4 linked regions of the Danio rerio genome follow. The protein of the gene in region 1 purifies or fractionates together with the protein of each later gene. This does not show direct contact. Links are inferred from orthologs where the notes say so. Each region holds a gene or a part of one and is shown in the gene's direction. Other genes may lie near its edges.

What was found.
Region 2: the proteins of stk24b (region 1) and slmapa purify together in Homo sapiens (affinity purification with mass spectrometry; 6 studies listed by BioGRID and IntAct, with this or other methods). This does not show direct contact. The link is inferred for Danio rerio from reciprocal best matches to the Homo sapiens genes STK24 and SLMAP.
Region 3: the proteins of stk24b (region 1) and fgfr1op2 purify together in Homo sapiens (affinity purification with mass spectrometry; 4 studies listed by BioGRID and IntAct, with this or other methods). This does not show direct contact. The link is inferred for Danio rerio from reciprocal best matches to the Homo sapiens genes STK24 and FGFR1OP2.
Region 4: the proteins of stk24b (region 1) and cttnbp2 purify together in Homo sapiens (affinity purification with mass spectrometry; 3 studies listed by BioGRID and IntAct, with this or other methods). This does not show direct contact. The link is inferred for Danio rerio from reciprocal best matches to the Homo sapiens genes STK24 and CTTNBP2.

Annotation. Positions count from the first base shown.
Region 1 is NC_133181.1:13,466,704-13,472,502, forward strand, and holds the start of stk24b (serine/threonine-protein kinase 24), read left to right. Parts: upstream 1-1,845; 5' UTR 1,846-2,436; coding exon 2,437-2,478; intron 2,479-5,799. UniProt on the Homo sapiens protein: Serine/threonine-protein kinase that acts on both serine and threonine residues and promotes apoptosis in response to stress stimuli and caspase activation.
Region 2 is NC_133186.1:44,671,040-44,676,205, reverse strand, and holds part of slmapa (sarcolemma associated protein a), read left to right. Parts: intron 1-1,409; coding exon 1,410-1,578; intron 1,579-1,727; coding exon 1,728-1,778; intron 1,779-5,166. UniProt on the Homo sapiens protein: Associates with the striatin-interacting phosphatase and kinase (STRIPAK) core complex, forming the extended (SIKE1:SLMAP)STRIPAK complex.
Region 3 is NC_133179.1:2,052,078-2,056,504, forward strand, and holds part of fgfr1op2 (FGFR1 oncogene partner 2 homolog), read left to right. Parts: coding exon 1-6; intron 7-1,227; coding exon 1,228-1,345; intron 1,346-1,417; coding exon 1,418-1,560; intron 1,561-3,339; coding exon 3,340-3,453; intron 3,454-4,427. UniProt on the Homo sapiens protein: May be involved in wound healing pathway.
Region 4 is NC_133193.1:22,112,570-22,117,354, reverse strand, and holds the end of cttnbp2 (cortactin-binding protein 2), read left to right. Parts: intron 1-2,129; coding exon 2,130-2,375; 3' UTR 2,376-3,257; downstream 3,258-4,785. UniProt on the Homo sapiens protein: Regulates the dendritic spine distribution of CTTN/cortactin in hippocampal neurons, and thus controls dendritic spinogenesis and dendritic spine maintenance.

The DNA of each region.
Region 1 (5,799 bases):
AAAACATGTAAAGGCCAATGGCTTTTTATTTACATGTTGTTGATTTATGTTGTTTTATAAATATATTCGAAGTTATTTTTATCTTCTGTAGGTTATCAATAAAATACAGTTATTCTGATAATTTAATAACATATAAACTCTCCCCATTTTTTTGCGACCCCCACTTTGGGAACCACTTAGGCACATGTGTCATGCTCAGTTCCTGGAGGGCCGCAGCGCTGCACAGTTTAGTTCCAGCCCCAATGAAACACTCCTGAACAAACTAATTGAGTCCTTTAGGTCTGTTTGATACCTACAGATAGCAGGCCCGTAGACAGAGGGGGTTCGAGTGGTCCAGAGACCCCACCCCCCTACCACTGCTGATAAAAGGTCCAGTATTGGCCCAAACATGAGCTCACTTGTCTTATTTTGACTGCTATGCCATCATAAAGTATGAAAATAACCCATCAAAGAAGGCTTCCAATAAATCTAAACAATCATTTTACACGATTCCAACATCCAGCTGTGCAAGAAAACTTGTTGAAAGTGAAGTCAACTTTTAATCTGAATCTTGGACCTTATTCTTGAAAGAAAAAAGTCAAATAAAAAGGTTTGAAGCACCAAAAGCGGCCCATGTTAAAGTAAATTTTTATACTAAATAGGCTATTTTTGTTATCCATGAACTTTCAAAAAGTTAAGCTCCATTCATTCATTTTCTTTTCAGCTTAATCCCTTTATTAATCTGGGGTCGCCACAGCAGAATGAACCGCCAACTTATCCAGCATATGTTTTACGCAGCAGATGCCCTTCCAGCTGCAACCCATCTCTGGGAAACATCCATACACACTCATTCACACTCATACTACGGACAATTTAGCCTACCCAATTCGCCTGTACTGCATGTTTTTGGACAGTGGGAGAAACCGGAGCACCCGGAGTAAACCCATGCAAACGCAGGGAGAACATGCAAACTCCACACAGAAATGCCAACTGACCCAGTCGAGGCTCGAACCAGCGACCTTCTTGCCGTGAGGCGGCAGCACTACCTACTGCGCCACTGTGTCGCTGTTAAGTACTACATTATCAATATTATTGTTTTATTTTTTTTTATCATTTAGAAGGACAAATTCTAACCAAGGAAAGTTGAATGAGCTGGCCAGTTTGTTATTGCCCATTAAATAACAATAGGCTCCTGTTTTTTTTTTTTTTTTCATTTAAATCTTTAACTTGAACTCAATTTCTTTAAATATTAATCTGATATAATAAATTAGCATTTTTAAATAAGTATTTTTTCATATTTCTTCATTCTATATATTTAGCAAACGCTTTTCGTACCTCAAAAGTGTGGTTATGGTGACCCCCTGACAAGCTAATCCAGCTAAAAATAGTGCTTAATATGTCACAAAAATACAGTATTCAAATTTCATTAATAAATATATAACAAGACAAATAGTTGCAAAAAGCTCAACTGCTTAAGAAAAAAACAACCACCTGGCCTGGATAGGTGTGTTCAAGCAGGGCTGGAACTTGTGCTGCGGCCCTCCAGTTGAGTTTGACTCCACAGGTTTAAGGAAAATGCAAACACAAAAAGTGCAAAAAATTCAAGTATTTTTTTGTTCTATTTACAACATTAACAAAAGTTTTTTGTCTATATATTTTTTCAATATAATTGTTATAGTGATAAAAAGACAAGTGAACTCACTTGACATTAAGCTTGTATGAATTGCTGACTGCATGTGCTCTCTACCATGATTAGAGTTTCAAACTCCTCCTCTCTTCTACCGGGGCGGGACCTCACGGGTCCGGATCCGCCCTGATGTCCCGATGACAGCACGGACAAGATGGCGGCCAGCTGGGAAGTGAAGTGAGGATGTCAACATCATTTCTTCAGTTTAAACAAGTCGGGATTTTCACCAGCCATCCCTTCAAAGACTCCTCGATATAGTTCATGATCCGTGCATCTGCTTCAGGAGGCAAAACCGGGGCATTTTTACCCAAACGCGCGCATGTTTCTGCGCTATGTTTTGGAAATCCGTTTGCGCAAAGAGGACCATCAACTCTTGACGAGCGATCTGGCCTGCGTGAACCTCCAAAACCCACTCCAGGAGTCCTCAAAAGAGCGTTCCCGCCTCAGATCGCGCGCTTCATCGACTGAAACTCTGCGATCAGTCGGATCGACGCTGTTTTGATTGCTGTTTGCGGTGATTTCCGCGAGGAAGAGCGGCGGTTCTCATTAAAGCTGCGGAAGTGGAGGAGAGCTTTTCACGCCAGTCATCTTTCACATGCACTTTCTGTCCCTCCGTGGATGCTCTTTACGCCATTATCCAGTTTTAAAAGATCCGAGACCGCATTAAAACTCGGGCACACGGGATACAGGGGTGCATTAGCTGTATCTTGTCCGGAAACAGTATTTTTTTTGCTGACTTGCTGGCCAGTTTTAGTGGTTAAAGTGACGCCATGGCTCATTCTCCAGTGCAGGGCAGTCTGCCTGGGATGCAGGTAAAGATACACTCAGCATCATTTCTACTATTTTGTGAATCGTTTACACTTTAACACTACGTACGTGTGTGAGTTTCTTAATGTCTGTAAAGAGTTCCTACTTTCTGATAAGTTGCAAAATAGCCAAAATGGGGTTGACTGCCTTTGAAAGTGTTAAAAGGTCCAATTTTGTATAAAACAAAACGTTTTGGATTAGAAACGAATTAAGGGTATAGTTGGTTTTATAATCACAAATTTGGACTTTCTTCTTAATAATAAAATTTCTGAAAAAGTATTTTCTAATTCTAAAAGGGCAAATCATATTAGCAGTTTAAAAACAACATCGTTTAAAGTAAAAAAAAAAAAATAGTGCTAATGCTGGTTTGAAGTCATGCTTCTGATTACAGACAGAATATATTTAAAGTAATATGGTAAACAATATAGGGACTATGTTACAAGTTGTCACAGAACAAATGTGCGATTATAAAACCAACTTTACTTTCGCACATTTAGACTTTCTCCTTGATAATATCATTTCTGAAATGTATTACTTGCGAATTCTATATAGTGAAATAATATTAGCCGCCAAAGACTATCAAAGTACAACATTGTTCACAATAGGGTTGCACGGTTTAGTATCGCGATACTATGGCTCCAAAATACTGGCGGTGCCACTGTAGTTTGTTAACGATAATATCGCCATTAATGGTTTATCTACAATAGATAATGTTGCAAGTGGTAAAGTCATTAAAATGCACACACGCTTGTGCAACAAAAAACATTTTATTTTAATAGTCTGTGGAGGCCATTGAGGTTGCAAAACTGTGTAGAATTTGCGCTTTTATGGTAACCCATTTCACGATTTCTAATGCTTTAGTTCGAACTCGCATCTGAAAAGGTACATTTCTGTTCTTGTTTATATGATTTAGTAGCTACAACAACTGTGACAACCTCTTCAAACAAACGACTCACAAAGTGAAAATTTTAAGTACTTTGGCTTGTTACCTGATAAGACTGAAAAAAAATAGATGAAAAACCCAAAGTAGTAACTGGAAACATTGAAATTTTTGATCACTTCCTGTAGCCTAATTTTGTTGGGGGAAAATGCTCTTTTATAACAAATTTCATTTGGTATAATTTGTAACTTTAGTGTATTTTTTTGTTGGTCAGTTATCTACAAAATAAACAAAAATAATGAGTAAATTTTAGGTGAAGTGAGGTGCAAATAATACTTTCTGGCCTTAAGGGAATTATGAATTAAATTCAAGTAGGCCGACTATAACATAAAATATAGCATTTCTGACCATTTTCTTTATAATTTGAGTTATGAATTACAGTATCGGAATACTACTTGTTGGTATTGTGATACTTTAGCTGGTAAAGTATTGTGAGATTAATTAATAGTATCGTGACAACCGTAGTTCACAGTGAATTAAGCAGTGCTAATGTTGTTGTGAAGTCAAACTTGAATGCAACTTCAGGCCAAATATTCAAATTAGCGTAGTAAACAATATAGGCACTGTTAAAATAAATGAATATGTGCATATACAACCAACTTTACCTCGATAAGAAGCAATAGAAACTTGCCATACACACAGGAACAGTTTGAGGACAAAAGCATGTCAAATGTTCTGAATTATTGACTGCGGTTTGATGAATTTTTAGAAAATATACCACCTCGGGGGCATTATTTTCTAATAATTCAACTGCTCATCATTGGTTATTCGCTAAAATGTTAATACATTAATTCATTATTACCTTTTTTAGAACCAACTTTAACATAAACCTTTCTACTATCTAGCTATTCACTTTTGTGGACGACTGGGGGTTCCTCAAAGCCTTTGGTTGACTTGAGTTGGCTTGATTAGGTTCGATTTTAAAATATTAATGCGAAAACACATCAAACATTATGGTTAACAGAAGAAGCCCTACATCCTTCATCATCATCTAAGCCTGGAAGTCAACAATTTAGAAAGCATGCCCATTAAATATTAAAATCTTGATGTTGTTGTTCTCTGGAGAGCATTAGCACCACTGTAACCTTTCTGGGACGTCCTTTATGAAGCTGAAGTCATCCAAGATCATGCATGAAGATCCAAGAATGAAAGGAAGTCGTGAAGTGGAAGGGTAGACACAAAAGGAAAGAGTGTTGTTAGAGAGATGTCTCCAGAGACAAGCCATCAGAACTGGGTCACTTGGTTTGGTCTCTATATATGCCGGGCCATATGACTGGTTTGCCCTCAGGATGTTCGAGCAATCTGCCATCCCAAGTACAAAAAAAATTCAGTTCATCTTCATCCTAAATGAACGTTGCAGGAGCCATTGTTGGCTGAGGATCTCCACCTTTAAGGAGGTCTTCAAAATCAGAGATTAAGTATGAGAAAAAGAAAAGCTGAATTACGTTGGAGGTCTGGAAGCTTAATGATGGAATAAGCATTATTTCTAGTAATGGGAGAAACGAAGCTTTTCAGGCCATCAAAACAATTGAACCAATTGCTTTGCAAAATAAATAGAAGTTAACACAAGCTATGTACACCTGGTGGTCAAATTGTGTAAATGCAGGCAAATATGGATCAGAAATGTTTTTTTTTTTCAAACTAAATATTGCAAACTTTAAATTGAATATATAATATTTAAATGCACTTGGCTGGTCACAAAATAGTATTATTAAGTGTCTGCAGAGTATGCATTCCTTAATACATTTTCAAGGCTTATATATATAGTTTTTTCTATGATGGGTTATGTTAAACAGGACACAAGACTATTAATTAATATTATTCCTTTTCATTTTACAAATGTCTCACTAAAATAAGCTAGTAAAACTGATCCAAGGTCAGGTTAAACCAATGAAATTTGTTCTGCAATACGCTACTTGGGAGCACAATTCATGTGGTTTTTCTGGAACAGAGATCGCCCCAATTGAAAAACCATTGACATTTTAAAACAGTAATTAAAGCTGCAAGCAGCGATGAAAGGGACCTCGCACCTGGGCTCACCTCCGCCCGGTGGCCTTAGGATGGCAGAGAACAGCGAACAATAATAACATGATAAATATAACTGATTTATGCCAAACTTCCTTCTGTCAGCAGGTGGCGCTATGACTGTGACTCAATATAGGCATGTAGATGTGTTCAAGAAAGTAATCTCAAAGAAGCTGTGAGTTTTCAGGCGGATCGGACATTGTTTGGCTGAGTTATAAGTAGGGCTGCACGATTAATCGAAAAAAAGATCACGATCTCGTTTCGACCCTACACACGATCTTAATTCAGCTTTTCTACGATTCAGCCAATTCGATTTTCAAGGTCTGGAGAGAAGCAAGGCAGTCGCACAAATCTTCACAGC
Region 2 (5,166 bases), on another chromosome or scaffold:
CACTGTAATCGTGAACATGATGTCAAGTCTACACGGTGTAAACATCTGCTTGAGGACTCTTAACAGTAAACTAAATGAAGCCTGTGTTTTGGTTTATCTTGTGTCCGTGTTAACTGAGGCCCCTTTTCAGATGTGCAAACTAATGTTATCTACTATTTCAGATAGGCAGATTCGTCACTTTTTCACAGCAACAAAACATGCCCATTCCGAATAAAGAGTCTTATTACTTGTCAGTGTAAACATTATTGATTTTAATGTTTGTGTAGCAGAACAGTATATAACCAAAATGAATGTAATCATTATAGTTGACATGTCATCAACGGGATTCGAACCCAAGTCAAAAGGTTCTGCACGAGCATCAACCGACTTCTCTATCTAAGCTACTCGCGTCTACAGGTTGAGATCGGTTTTCCGTGTTTACATTTTTTCCATGTACCTGCATTTACATGTTTCTACACACTCTCATGCTGATATTTTCTCAGAATAGCTCTAATATGTTTTATCGCAGTTAGTCAAGCCATGATTTTTATAGTTGAAGACTTGTGGAAACCTGTCTACAAAGTCACACACGAGCTGGATATTATAGGGTATATGCCGAGCTAGTGCTGTTCCCATGCTGATACACTTCCGGTGACCTGTTATTGTGAACTTTTTTTCCATTTTATACGGTTCCTTATACAGCATCGATGTTGTAATGTCATTAAAATACATTCAGTTAAATAAACTTTAGCATTTATGTGGTTGCTCAAGCGTAAAACGAGACAAAAAGCTGTTTACTCGCACGCGCCCGTCAGAATCGGCAGGCTAACGCAGAAGCTCTGAATATACTGGGGTAAAATAAATGCTCATATTATAAAGATATGGCGGGGGAGATGTAATTTAATGCAGTGCTTCTTGTACAATCTGAGACCCACTTTAAATCGGATACCACTCAGCTAGTGGAGATCGTTCATTTTTAAAGAAAACAGACCTTAAACGCACCGGATTTTGCATTTGCATTCAATTCGCCGGAAACGCTTAACCCAGGTTACTAGCAAATTAAAAATCCTATTAGCATGCTTCGGCATATACCCCATTGATATTTTCTAGTGTGTGTGTTACATTCCGGGTCACTTCCGGTGTGTGGTACATTCCCTTTCCGTAAGAAATCTGTAATTGTAAATTTGTTTCGGGACTTGTAAAAGTGTTTTGCGTCTTGTTAGTTTGTTTTCTAAATTGTAAATTTGTTTCGTCCTTGGTAAAATTGTTTTTCCTCTGTAATTGTGTCTGATGACAGGTAAAAATGTTTTTCAAAATGTAAATTTGTCTCGAGCTTTGTAAAAGTGTTTCAAACTTTGTAATGTTGTTGTGCACTTCTCGGCCACCGTAGTTATCAAGCATAGTTACACATTACAATTTACTTCGTTCAGTTGGCGGAGGATAAACATGAGGAGCTCACACAGAAAGGCCTGAACGAGAAGAAGGAGCTGCAGATGCGGATCGAGGAGATGGAGGAGAAGGAGCAGGCGCTTCAGGCCCGAATCGAAGCTCTGCAGGCTGACAACGACTTCACCAATGAGAGACTGACAGCTTTGCAAGGTAAAACACGATGTCTGTTGTTGCTCGCGCTGGCTTGAAAACGCACACTTTCGTTTCTTGGTAACTACAAGGATGAGTGAGGTTGAGGAGGAGCATCTTTCAGCTTTTAATTTCTGGTCATCCCGAATGTTCTCGTTGTCACTTTGCAGTTCGGTTAGAGCAGCTGCAGGAGAAAAGCATAAAGGAAAACAACAGTTTAGGTGAGTTGGCGACGCATGTGTCTGCTAGTGTGCTGCTAACCTCGCATCTCCTCTGACTAATTCAGCATGGGAGCTCGCCTTCGGTTGCCTTGTTTTTCACCTTTATTTCTGTCCCTTCTTCTTTCTTTCTGTCTGGCTTTGCTTCTGTTTTGACCTGTTCTGTCTCGAAGGCCTTGATCTTCTGCATTGAGCATGTGTGTTTAAGTTTACACCACTGCATACAGTCTAGGAATGATATTTAAAGGGAACCCAGGGTATTAAAGGAGTGATGGTTCAGCTAAAAATGTGATTTTCTCACTATTTACTCATCCTTATGTGGTTTAAGAGTTTATGTTGTTCTGTTAAGCACAATAGAACGTATTTGGAAGAAACTGACAACCTGTAACCATTGACTTTCATACAACCCAAAATCAGAAAAGTTAGGACAGTACGTAAACCGAACATAAAGGAAGTGATTTCTAGATTTACTTTGACTTGTGTTGCAGACGATTTAACAAACATTATTTATTGTGTTCCTTATGATTTTCTTAGTTTTTTTTTCTTCTTTTAAAATAAACATTCCAATTCTGGTTCTTGCAACACATTTTACCTTTACCTAATTGTTACTCGTGTGAATAAGCACTGATTTGCCTGGGATTTCAGGCATTTGTCAGTGATTTCTCAACCTGCTGGCGATTCAAAATCAATGCAGTCTGAACTCAGCATTAAGCTTGCACTCTTGTCCTTTATCCACTGAAATTCCTTCAGACCCCTTGAATCTTTTAATTATGTTAGGCACTGTTGAAGGTGAAATATCTTAATGTCTTCCTATGTTTCTTTGAGGAACATTGTTTTTCATTCATTCATTCATTTTCTTGTCGGCTTAGTCGCTTTATTAATCCGGGGTCGCCACAGCAGAATGAACCGCCAACTTATCCAGCAAGTTTTTAAATCAGCGCATGCCCTTCCAGCCGCAACCCATCTCTGGGAAACATCCACACACACATTCACACACACACTCATACACTACGGGGAATTTAGCCAACCCAATTCACCTGTACCGCATGTCTTTGGACTGTGGGGGAAAACGGAGCACCCGGAGGGAACCCACGCGAAGGCAGGAAAAACATGCAAACTCCACACAGAAACCCCAACTGAGCCGAGGTTTGAGCCAGCGACCTTCTTGCTGTGAGGCGACAGCACTACCTACTGCGCCACTGCCTCGCCTACATTGTTTTTCAATGTTTCAGTTTTATCAAGTGTTTGTTGGCAAACTGGCGATCCTCGGCCCATCTTTGCTCCTAAAGCACTGGACCTTTATTGGATGCTACTTTTGTACCAAACAATAATTACAATCACCTGTTTCAGATCACATCATTAATCCAATTTACCTGATTACTAGACCTAAATTGCTCCTGTCGTAATTTTTTTGAAATGTGTTGCAAGAGTTAAGATTGAAATGCATGTTTATTTTAGAAAAAAAAACAATAAAAATCACACATTAAATAATGTTTATCATGTTGTCAGCATTGAAATACAAGCCAAAGTAAATTTAGAAATCATTAGCATATTCCATACTCTGCCAACCTTTTTTGATTTGGGGTTGTAAAACATACTATGGGAGTCAAATGTTTGCAGGTTTCCAGCTTTCTTCAGAACATCTTCTCTTATGTTTAACAGAATAATGTCAAATAGGTTTTACAGAGGCAGAGAATGAGTAAACAATGGCAGAATTTTAATTTTTGTGTGAACTGTTCTTTTAAGGAATACAAGCCTTAATACCCAGGACTCTCTACAAATTTGTCTCTCCCCATTTGGTCGTTTGTCACCAAGTTTTCCCTGTGAGCTTTTTTCACTTAGTATATATGAAGAAAGGTGTCTCTAAATCAGTTTTGCTGTCAACTGGTTGGCCTTTTTAGTTAGTTATTCTAGATGCTTTCAGGACTTTGACTCATTTTAATCTGCTACGTTGCTAATAATTGATTTAATGTCATTAGTCAGTGTTTAATTAGGCTTGGCACTAAACTCTGCCGGATTATCCATTGTGTCTTTTGTGGTTAGCACACAGCAGGGCATTACGCTTTGAAATGGAGCTCAAGAATTGCTTGGTGATTTATATTTCTCATGCAATAATATAAGAAGCAGCATCTCAGAAATGAAACTACTGATGTGGTGTGCCACACACCACAAACCTCCTGGCAGAAACACACCTCTCTCTGAGCATTTCTTTTTATAGTTGATTTTTATAAAATCTGCTGATATCAAGAATTATTAGGATAGAGTAAATGTGTTTTTTCCCAGTAAGAACTTTGTAGAGAAAATCAGCCTGTGCAAATCTGACACTGACTGAAAATTAAGACTTTTCTTTTATTTGGTGCCAGTATTTGTGCTTTTTAACCACCAGGGATGTGCATGTCAGTAAGATTTTTTACTGTAAGGCATAGTTGTACGCTACCTGACAAAAGTCTTGTTGTAGAAGCAACAATAATAACTTGACTTCTAGTTGATCATTTGGAAAAGTGGCAGAAAGTGGATTTTTTCAGATGAATCATCTGTTGATCTGCATCCCAATCATCACAAATACTGCAGAAGACCTACTGGAACCCACATGTACCCAAGATTCTCATAGAAATCAGTCAAGTTTGGTGAAGGAAAAATCATGGTTTGGGGTTATATTCAGTATGGGTGTGTGCGAGAGATCTGCAACATCAACAGCGTGAGGTATCAAGACATCTGTGCTGCCCATTACATTACAAACCACAGGAGAGGGACAATTCTCCAGCAGGATAGCGCTCCTTCTCATACTTCAGCCTCCACATCAAAGCTCCTGAAAGCAAAGGTCAAGGTGCTCCAGGATTGGCCAGACCAGTCACCAGACATGAACATTATTAAGCATGTCTGGGGTAAGATGGAGATTAAAAATGAACCCAACGACTCTTGATGAACTCTGGGAGTCCTGCAGGAATGCTTTCTTCACCATTCCAGATGACTTTATTAATCAGTGATTTGAGTCAGTGCAGAGTATGGATGCAGTCCTCCAAGCTCATGATGGAGTCAGACACAATATTCATTCTGTCTCCACTGCAGCAGGACTTTATATTCTATACTGGACATTATTTCTGTTCAGACACAAGACTTTTGTCTAAGCAAAGTCGGACCTTACTGTCCTGATGAAATATTTAAAAATCAAGGCATGATCATATTTTATTGTGGTCAAATAAGCGTCATCTAGAGGCCTTTGCCTTTCATATAAGCCACTTCTGACCCCAAATGATCAACTAGATGTCAAGTTATTATTTGTTGCTCCTAAAACTTGGATAGCCGACCAGATTTTTGTCAGGTAGTTGTATTGAGAGGTAACTGTTATAGTATTCAGCCTGATGGGAAAAACTTTCTCGGATGAATATTA
Region 3 (4,427 bases), on another chromosome or scaffold:
AAACAGGTCAAATACTCTCTTTTACACTGACGTTAAGTTTGTTTTATATTCACACATTTGTTCAGTGATACGGCCTCTGTATTGTTTAACATGCTACACTGAATATTCGGTCAGAAACTGCATGCAAGTATGACTTCAGAACAACATTAGCACTGTTTAATATGATTCAATCTATTTGCAGGTTCACCGTCATCATTTCAGAACAGTATTATTTGCAAACTGTAAATATGGAAATCTTATTATCAGCCAATGATTATCAAAGCACAACACTATTCACAGTTGATCAAATGGTGCTAATGTTGTTTTGAACTCGTACTAATATACGATTTCAGACCGAATATTATAAGTAGTGTAACCCCGCCGGTCCTGCGCCACCCAACCCATTCTAAGCTGGTATCGACCCGGTGACCTTTTGCATGGGAGTCGGTTGCTCTACCAAGGAGGGTAAAGACCATGGCCTCTAGTGTCTGCCGCTAGAGCACCTTTAAGCCCCGTTCACACAGGGCTTCAGCGTCAACGCTTGACTGAAGGCGTGTCTGAAGTTGGGGCTGACGCGATTGTCATAGCAGCGTCAGCCAATGAAATTCAATCAGCAATAGGCCACTGTCTAGCTGGTGTATTTGCATACAGCAATCTGATTGGCTGACGCTTCTGTCAGTGCTTGAAAAGTTGAGCTAGTCCCAACTTCTGCAGCGAGCAACACCTCTGAAACGGCGCCGACGGATCCACAATACAGTTCGGCAACGCCTGACGTCACAGCTCCTACTGGCTGGCCTCCGTTACTACACTCACCCCCCCTAAACCTCACTCCCATCCGGGTCACGGCACCAATGTAACCACACCAGTATTACATCACCCAACCCGCTCCAAGCTAGTATTGAACCGGCGACCTTCCCCAGTCAGTTGCTCTTTCAAGGAGGCTAAAGACCATGGCCTCTAGCGTCTGTCACTAGAGCACCTTTAGAGCTCAGAGGAGTGAGGTTAACCTGCACAGCACCTACTGGCTGGCCTCCATTACAGTAGCATGCTAAAAACAATATAGGGGCTGCAAAAAACAAACAAACATGCAAATATAAAACTAAATATATCTCAGTAATAAACCTAAATCTCTGCTACATTTTGTATGTTTAATCTCAGGCAGTCACAGCTTACCCTAAATTGAATAGTGTATTTGTCGGTGTATCCTTGTTTGTTTATTTTTTGTTCAATCGTTTGTTGTGATCTCAGTATCAGGAAGAGATCGAGGTGTTAAACCAGGTTGCGAGGCATCGGCCACGCTCAACACTAGTCATGGGCATCCAACAGGAAAACCGGCAAATACGGGAACTGCAGCAAGAAAACAAAGGTGTGTGCTTGGTGTTTTTTTTTTTCCTGCATGCTATTTGAGGCCTGTTTTTAAAGCCCAGTCTCTGTGCAGAGCTGCACACGTCTCTGGAGGAGCATCAGTCTGCGCTGGAGCTGATCATGAGCAAATACAGAGAGCAAGTGTTTCGACTTCTGATGGCCAGCAAAAAAGAGGATCCCACCATCGTCACGCAGCTCAGAGAACAGCACACGAACGTCAGTCCCCCACGCACACACTGAAATTCACTATTAAAAAGCTGCTACACAAATAGTCTCAGGAATCATACTGGAAATCCTTGAAAAACTTCAGTTTTTTTAATCTATAGTGTTTTCAAAGGTTTAAAAAGTGCTTAGATTTTAGGTAAAGTGCTTGCAAATGTAATTGTGCCACTTGCATAATAATAAATGGGTAATAATAACTCACTTTAAATGAATTAAAATTAATATTACAAAGAGTAAATCAGTTTTTCGATATTAGGCTCGGTGCAAACATGCCATTTCTTAGAATACCACACTATACTATAACAGAAAGCAGCTGATATAATGTGATTAAAGCCTGCAAATTTGCCACACTTGTGCATGGCTTGAAAATGCAGCTGGAAAAGTGTAATGTAAAACTAGAACCTAAAGTTCATTGATAAACTTTGATGTTGGCTTGAGAAAGTCAAACGTTTATGGCATTGTTACGTGGTTGCTGAGCAGTTGCTAAATGGCAATGCTCGTGTACATGTTTGATCAAATGCTAATACTTAGTAGGCATTTCTAGCATATGTTATTGCATTTAGATAATCATTCATAGCATGTAGCTAATCGTTATAAGCACTTGGCTTCCATTATCATTGTTACCATGCATAGTACACAGGAAGTCCCATTTGCTAGAATGAGTCAAACAAGCCAATGCCCAAGTCTCTACGATGTTCTGATGTAGAGATATTGCTATTTTTAAATGGTTGCTAGGTTATACTGTTTTAATGCTATGGGGACATTTGACAGGTTAGTGATGATACATCAAAGCTTCTTGGCAATATGAGTGATCTTAATCAACCCCGATGTTTCTATGACAGTCTTTATGAGTGTCAAAAACTGGACTTAAACATTATGTATTCCTGGTGTTGGGTTGCGGCTGGAAGGGCATTCGCTGTGTAAAACAAATGCTGGATAAGTTGGCGGTTCATTCCGTTGTGGCGACCCCTGATTAATAAAGGGACTAAGGGAATGAACATTATGTAAAAATGGCTTGCTGTATTTTTTTGAAAATACAACACTTAATAATTGTGAAGGTGATACATGCAAAAATGGCTTGCCATATCAGTAACAAATATGGAGTTTAAGTCAAAAATGGCTTGCCATATTTTGAGAAAAATAATGCTTAAAAATTATTTATTGAAAAACTATAAATCTGATAAACCTTAAAGATATAGCAACAAAATCTAACGCATCTAAATACAGCTTTTGGCCAAATTTGGGGCTTGTATAATTTTTTTATATGCCCGGATTATAAAAATATAATATTTAACATTTTTTATTTAAAAAAAATGATAAGTCTAACAGGCATGAGGAGATATAGCAACAATCTTGAATGCAGAAGGCACATTTAGACCACATTTGGGCCTTGTGGCATGAACGGCCTTGGAGGAGATACGTTTGTTTTCAAGGACAGAGTAGCATAACAGCATGTTGGCTTTCTCAAGCCAACACAATAACGCTCATTTTGTGAATAATTATATACAATTAATCTAAGCTACAAACATTGAATTTATTGTGCACAAATTGGCTTGCAAAGAATATGCACACAATAATATATACATGCAAATAATAAATAATAATAGGTTAAAATCTAAAATGACTCCACTATGATCTGAACTGTAGGCGTCTCGTCATTTATAATGCCAACTGCACACTGCAGATCCTACTTTTGCAGATTCACTCGTTGCAATATCAATGCTGAAACAATATATTGTGTAGGTGTTAACTGTTACGGTGTTTACGTCACAGGAGATGCAAGCGCACATCGAAAAAATCAACGAAATGGCCACGGTGATGAGGAAAGCCATCGAAGTTGATGAAGGACGACTGTGTGAGGATGAGGAGAGAATCAAACGCCTGGAGGTGACACACGCTTCAGTATAAATCACAGTAACTGGAGTGATATGACTAAAAGTTCCCAATATGAGTCGTTTCATTTCACAATAATGAGATTTATGAGATCATAACCACTTGATTATCTGGTAACACTTTAAAATAATGGTCCATTAGTAGATAATGTGTTTACTAACATAAATAAATAATTATTAATGCATTTATTACTGTATTCATTCATCTTTGTCAATGTCAATCAAGGTAAGATCATTAGTGCACTTGTTAACTTTGGATTTTAGTTGTCCATTAGTGAATGTTGAGCTTTTATTAATTAATGCTTTACAAGAGTGTTCATAGTTATGTAATATTAGTAACTGCATTGACTAATAGGCCATTTTTCTGAGGTGTTACCTGATTATCTTATGCAATGTTTATAGAAAAATATTAACTTGATAAATATGACGTGTTTGAGAACGGACACTGTTGTTTAGTATTTATTACTATTTTAGTATAATTGAAATGCTGTTTAATTGTTTGCATTTGGTTTTAGTTTTAGATTGTCTAGCCTTTTTTAGGACGCTCATTAAAATACTCATTGCAAAAACTGAGGGTTATTACAATTAACTTTTATTACGGAAATAAAATGTACAATATAGTTAAAGTTCTTTGCCTGGTTAAAGGCGAGTTTTAATTTTAGTTTTAAATATTCTATATATGTAGTTTTTTTTTGTTTGTTTTAGTGAGTCAAGTTAAAAAAAATTTAATAATCAAAATCATGTATAATAAATTGACTAAAAAGAATATTAAATATTTCTGTTAACCTGCATGTGGTGAAAATTTGAGAACTGTAAACATGTTTGAGTTGCGAAGTCAGAATTAATAATTTTTCTTTTTTTAATATTTCCCAAAAGATATTTAACAGAGCAAGGAAATTTTCACAGTATGTCTGATAATATTTTTTCTTCTGGAGAAAGTCTTATTTGTTTTATTTCGGCTAGAATAAA
Region 4 (4,785 bases), on another chromosome or scaffold:
GTGATACCAGTAAATGTACGGAAAATTTCCGGGCTGACTTTACCGGTAAATTAAAAAATGCACTGTTCACACAGGCACGGACGTTATGGCATTTTTCTGGAAAAGACCGTTCACACATCTATTCCAAAATACCAGTGAATTCTGACATCATTAATCAGAAATGGCCTCTAAACGACTGCGCTTGTATTTTTAAACATTTGACTACATTACAGATTTTGTGGATGGATAAGTATTGTGAACAACTTCGATGAAAACATATGGAGGAATACTTTCGCATGTCAAGATGTACATAATATGTGCGACTCACCGGCTGCTTCACGTGCACACGCATCAAGCAACTGAAGCAGGCTTATCATAAGTATTTTATTGATAATGTTTTTACACCGTTGGCATTAAGGAACACTGAAACATTATCTGACTAAAATCTAGCAGCTAAATGGATCTGGAAAAATATTCAAAGGCTTTTATTTTCATAAACAGCGCAGATGTGAATGTGCCTGAATGTTCTGATTGGCTAGAGTAGACGTCTCATGTCAGCGCTTTCTAAACATGAACACGCTCTTTCCGGCAATTTTCCTTCTGCGTTCAATCAGTGCAGCATTCCAGCAAATTACCAGTAATGTTACAACTTCTCTCTCTGGAAAATTGCTAGAATTAATTTACCAGTATTTTCAAAAAGGGCCTGTTCACACATACAAAGGTTTTTATGTGTGAAAGGAGCTTTTGTCGCCAACGGTTGTTGTCACTAACGTGGACAGAGGTCGCCTGAAGTCACTCCCTCTTGTTGAAATTAGCGGTCACTTGTCGCTTTGCTGATGCGAGCCGCTCGTAGTGTGAACGCAAGCTTAAGTCTCAGATGTTGTACTCAAAAGTACAAATTGTCATTTTATTGTAAATCAGTGGTTCTCAAACATTTTTCATCAAGTACCACCTTAGAAATAAGTTGTCTTTGCAAGTGCCACCATAATGAGCAGTATTGAAATACAGTAGCGTATTAGGTCCAGTAAAGCAGCTAAAGTGTATGCATATTAGTTCCTATTATTAAGACATTTAAATTTAAATGTGGTTTTAAAAACTAAAAATGGTAACTTACTGTTCTTAAAAAGTAAAATAAAGAAAAAAAATCCTGGTTTATCAGCACCTGGAAATGTTGCCTAGACCTCATAAATATAGGCTTTATGTCATCATATTCATATATTAATCTTTTTTGATAATTTACTTAAATATATGTTGCATGTACATATGACATATTTGATTCATCCGCTTACCACTAGAAGGAAGCCCGCGTACCACTAGTGGTACACGTACCACAGTTTGAGAACCACTGTTGTAAATAGTCAGCATATTTAAATCACAATGTTAGCAACCATTTAAAATGAAAAATCCAGCCAAAATGTTAATTCCTTTTTTACCCATTTATTTTTTAGTTTCTAAGCATTATTACTCTAAACTGTTTTTGTATCTGTATCATTTCCTGTAAAGAAAATTAAGTTTTAATGTTGTAAATTAAGTTTGTGAAAGAGAAATAACTTTTTAGAATTACGTTATAACATTTCTATAAATGTAAATTATTATTTAATCTATACATTTTTTAAAAATATAATTTTCCCATTTAAAATGTGACTCTTCTCCAGTTACATCATGTATGTAAATCCAACATAAAATAAAAGTTGCTATTTTCTAGATTGGTATGGCTCAGAACTATACTCTCTGTCTGGCTTAATAATCAAGAAACTTTGTTGCTGTATTATGGCTCCAGCAGGCACAATGATATTATGTGGCTCCTGAAAATAGTCTCTAGCTAGGTAACAAAGTAACAGTGTTGCGTAATATCATTGCTCCTGCTGCAGCCATGCTACGGCAGCAAAGTTTCCTGATTTTTACGCCAAAATGAGAGTATAGTGCCAATCCATATCGACCTATGGCTCCATCCCATCACTTTTAGCACACCAAGTAACTCAAATGTTTAACTCTGGGAAATTCCACAAATGGAGTGTTCCTCTTACTTAAGCTTTAAAGGAGGCCTAGCTCACTTATTCATTTTAGAACAGAGCGCATATACAATATAAACTACTATACACTCGACTTTTCTTTCTTTTAAAATGTTTTTTGTTCATTGCTTTGAAAAGACTGACAGTGTTCACACTTCTCCTCGGCGAGTGATGAGGCCCAGGTCCCATCTACCTGTCCCGAGCAGCAGAGGATCTCAGCAGATGATCAGCAGCAGCTCTTCCCTTCAGACTCACAGCAGAGCCTCCACCAGCAGCAGCAGAACAAGGCAGCCCCCGTCCAACAACAACACAAACAACCTCTCACAAGACCACATCTGGTTCCTGGACCCCAACTCTAATGAAAACTACAGTACCCACGGATAGACTCCACCCACTGCCCTCCCTGTGCCCTCAGCCTGTCCTCCCCCTCAGTTTTGTGAAGTTAGGTTACTGGCAGCATTTTAGTATTTGTACATGTTGTCCATAATTGTTACACTATATTACATTGTGTACTTTGGGACCATAGTTTTAATATATTCAGCTGTTTAAGAAAAAAGAAAATAAGAGAAAGACTGCTTGAACACTTTACAATTTGCCTTTTAGGTCAAATGTTTTGGATCAAAGTAAGAGCTAGTGGTCTTTTTGCTCTTTAGTATTTTCAATCAACTGTGTATTACGTTTAAATAAGTGAAAGGTGAGTTTTAAAAACTGTCGAAATCAGGGTTTTACCAAATATGTGTAAATAAGAACCGGGAACTTAAATGTTGTATAGATTATAGTGTGTGTGAGTGTGTGTGTGTGCGCGTGTGCGTGTGATTTTTGTGCTTGTACATTGGAGGAATTTTGAAGGGAAAATGAGAACTGTATATATCGTTTGTAATATTAAATTTGGGTTCATATTTTTTCACTTGTTTCCAAATGAACTGAATGTGGCAATAAGTACCGCCATCGCGAACACAGGATATTTCATTTTTGTCCGTTAAGCCATAATTATTAGTATTTTCAATTGCTCTCACGCGTGCTCGGTTACTTACGTCGTGAAGCCTGACTAATTGGAAGCGGCGCGCATTTAAACATTTTCGTTTGTCTCCTGTATTGAACACTTAGGATAATCAAGTATTCTTTTCAAGTCAGTATTGTTCATATGTACAGAAGAGATTATAGTTGACCTCTGATGTTTAACTGTATTATAGTTGTCGGACGAGGTTCAGAGAAATTGTCCTGTTTCCTCCAAGCACAACGATTAAAAATGCACTACTCTAGAAATCACCTCAGCTCTTGGGTTTTCTTTATACACGCAGCTAATGCTAACATTGTCCAAGACATCACTTCAGCTTTATACACACAGCTCCAGCTAACATAGTTTGTAGTTGATGCTAACCTTATCATAAATCCCCTTACCCCTTGGGATTTCTTTTAACAACAGCTAATGCTAACATATATTGTCCAATAAATTGCTTCAGCTTCTTGGTTTTCATTTTCCACATAGCTAATGCTAAATTCATCCTATAAAATCCCCTCAGCTTTTTGGTTTTCCTTCACCACACAGCTGATGTTAGCATTGTGTTTGCAGCTAATGCTAGTTATAAACATTGCCATATATTGGGGTTTCTTTTTTCACACTGCTAACATTGTGTTTATACAGTGCCTGAGATTTCTATGCTAACATATCCCTGCTGAAAAATCCAGCTTAAACCTGCCTAGGCTGGTTGGCTGGTTTTAGCTGTTTGACGAGGCTGGTTTTAGAGAGGTTTTGGCCATTTCCAGGCTGGTTTAAGCTGGACATAGCTGGTTTTGGCTGAGCTCCCAGCCTGGCTAAGCTGGTTTTAGCTGGTCATCTCCCAGCCTGACCAGCTAAGACCAGGCTGGAACTGGCCAAAACCCCTCTAAAACCAGCCTGGTCGACCAGCTTAAACCCCCCCCCAACCAGCCTATGCTGGTTTAAGCTGTTTTTTTCAGCAGGGATTGTGTTTGCAGCTAATGCTAGAACTTTATCAGCTCTTGGGTTAGCTAACATTTCAAATGCTATTGTTAGCATTGTCAAACAAACTCACAGCTCTTGGATTTTCTTTTTACACACAGCTAATGCTAACATCCAAGACATCACTTCAACTTTTTTTTCTTTTTCCACACAGCTCATGCTAATATAGTATTTGTCATTATTGCTAACATTGTCATTAAGCACTTTAGCTCTTGGGATTTGTTTAATAACATTTAAGGATAATATTGTCCAAAAAGTCCCTGCTGAAAAAAAAACAAGGGGTTTGGCTATTTCCAGCCTGGTCTTAGCTGGTCAGGCTGGAAAATAAGCTTGACCAGGTGGGATCACTTCAGCTGCTGGGTTTTCATTCTCCTAATGCTAAAATTCTCTATATCATCCAATAAATCCGCTTTTTGGTTTTCCTTCACCACACAGTCGATTTTAACATGCAGCTAAGTTATAAACATTCCCATATCTTGGGGTTTCTTTCAGCTATTGTTAACATTGTGTTTATGTAAGATATCACCTCCTGAGATTTCTTTCTACAAACAACTAACGAATGCTAACATTGTGTTTGCAGCTAATGCTAGTTCTACTTTGCATCAGCTCTTGGATTAGTTAACATGTGATCCTAATTTTAGCATTGTTATAAATCACCTTCTTGGGGTTTCTTTTAACAACCGCTAATGCTAACATATTGTCCACAAAATCACTGCCGGGTTTTCACAAAATTAGCTGCCGGGTTTTCATTCTCCACAAAGCTAATGCTAAAATCATCCTATAAATCCCCTCAGCTTTTTGGTTTTCCTTCAC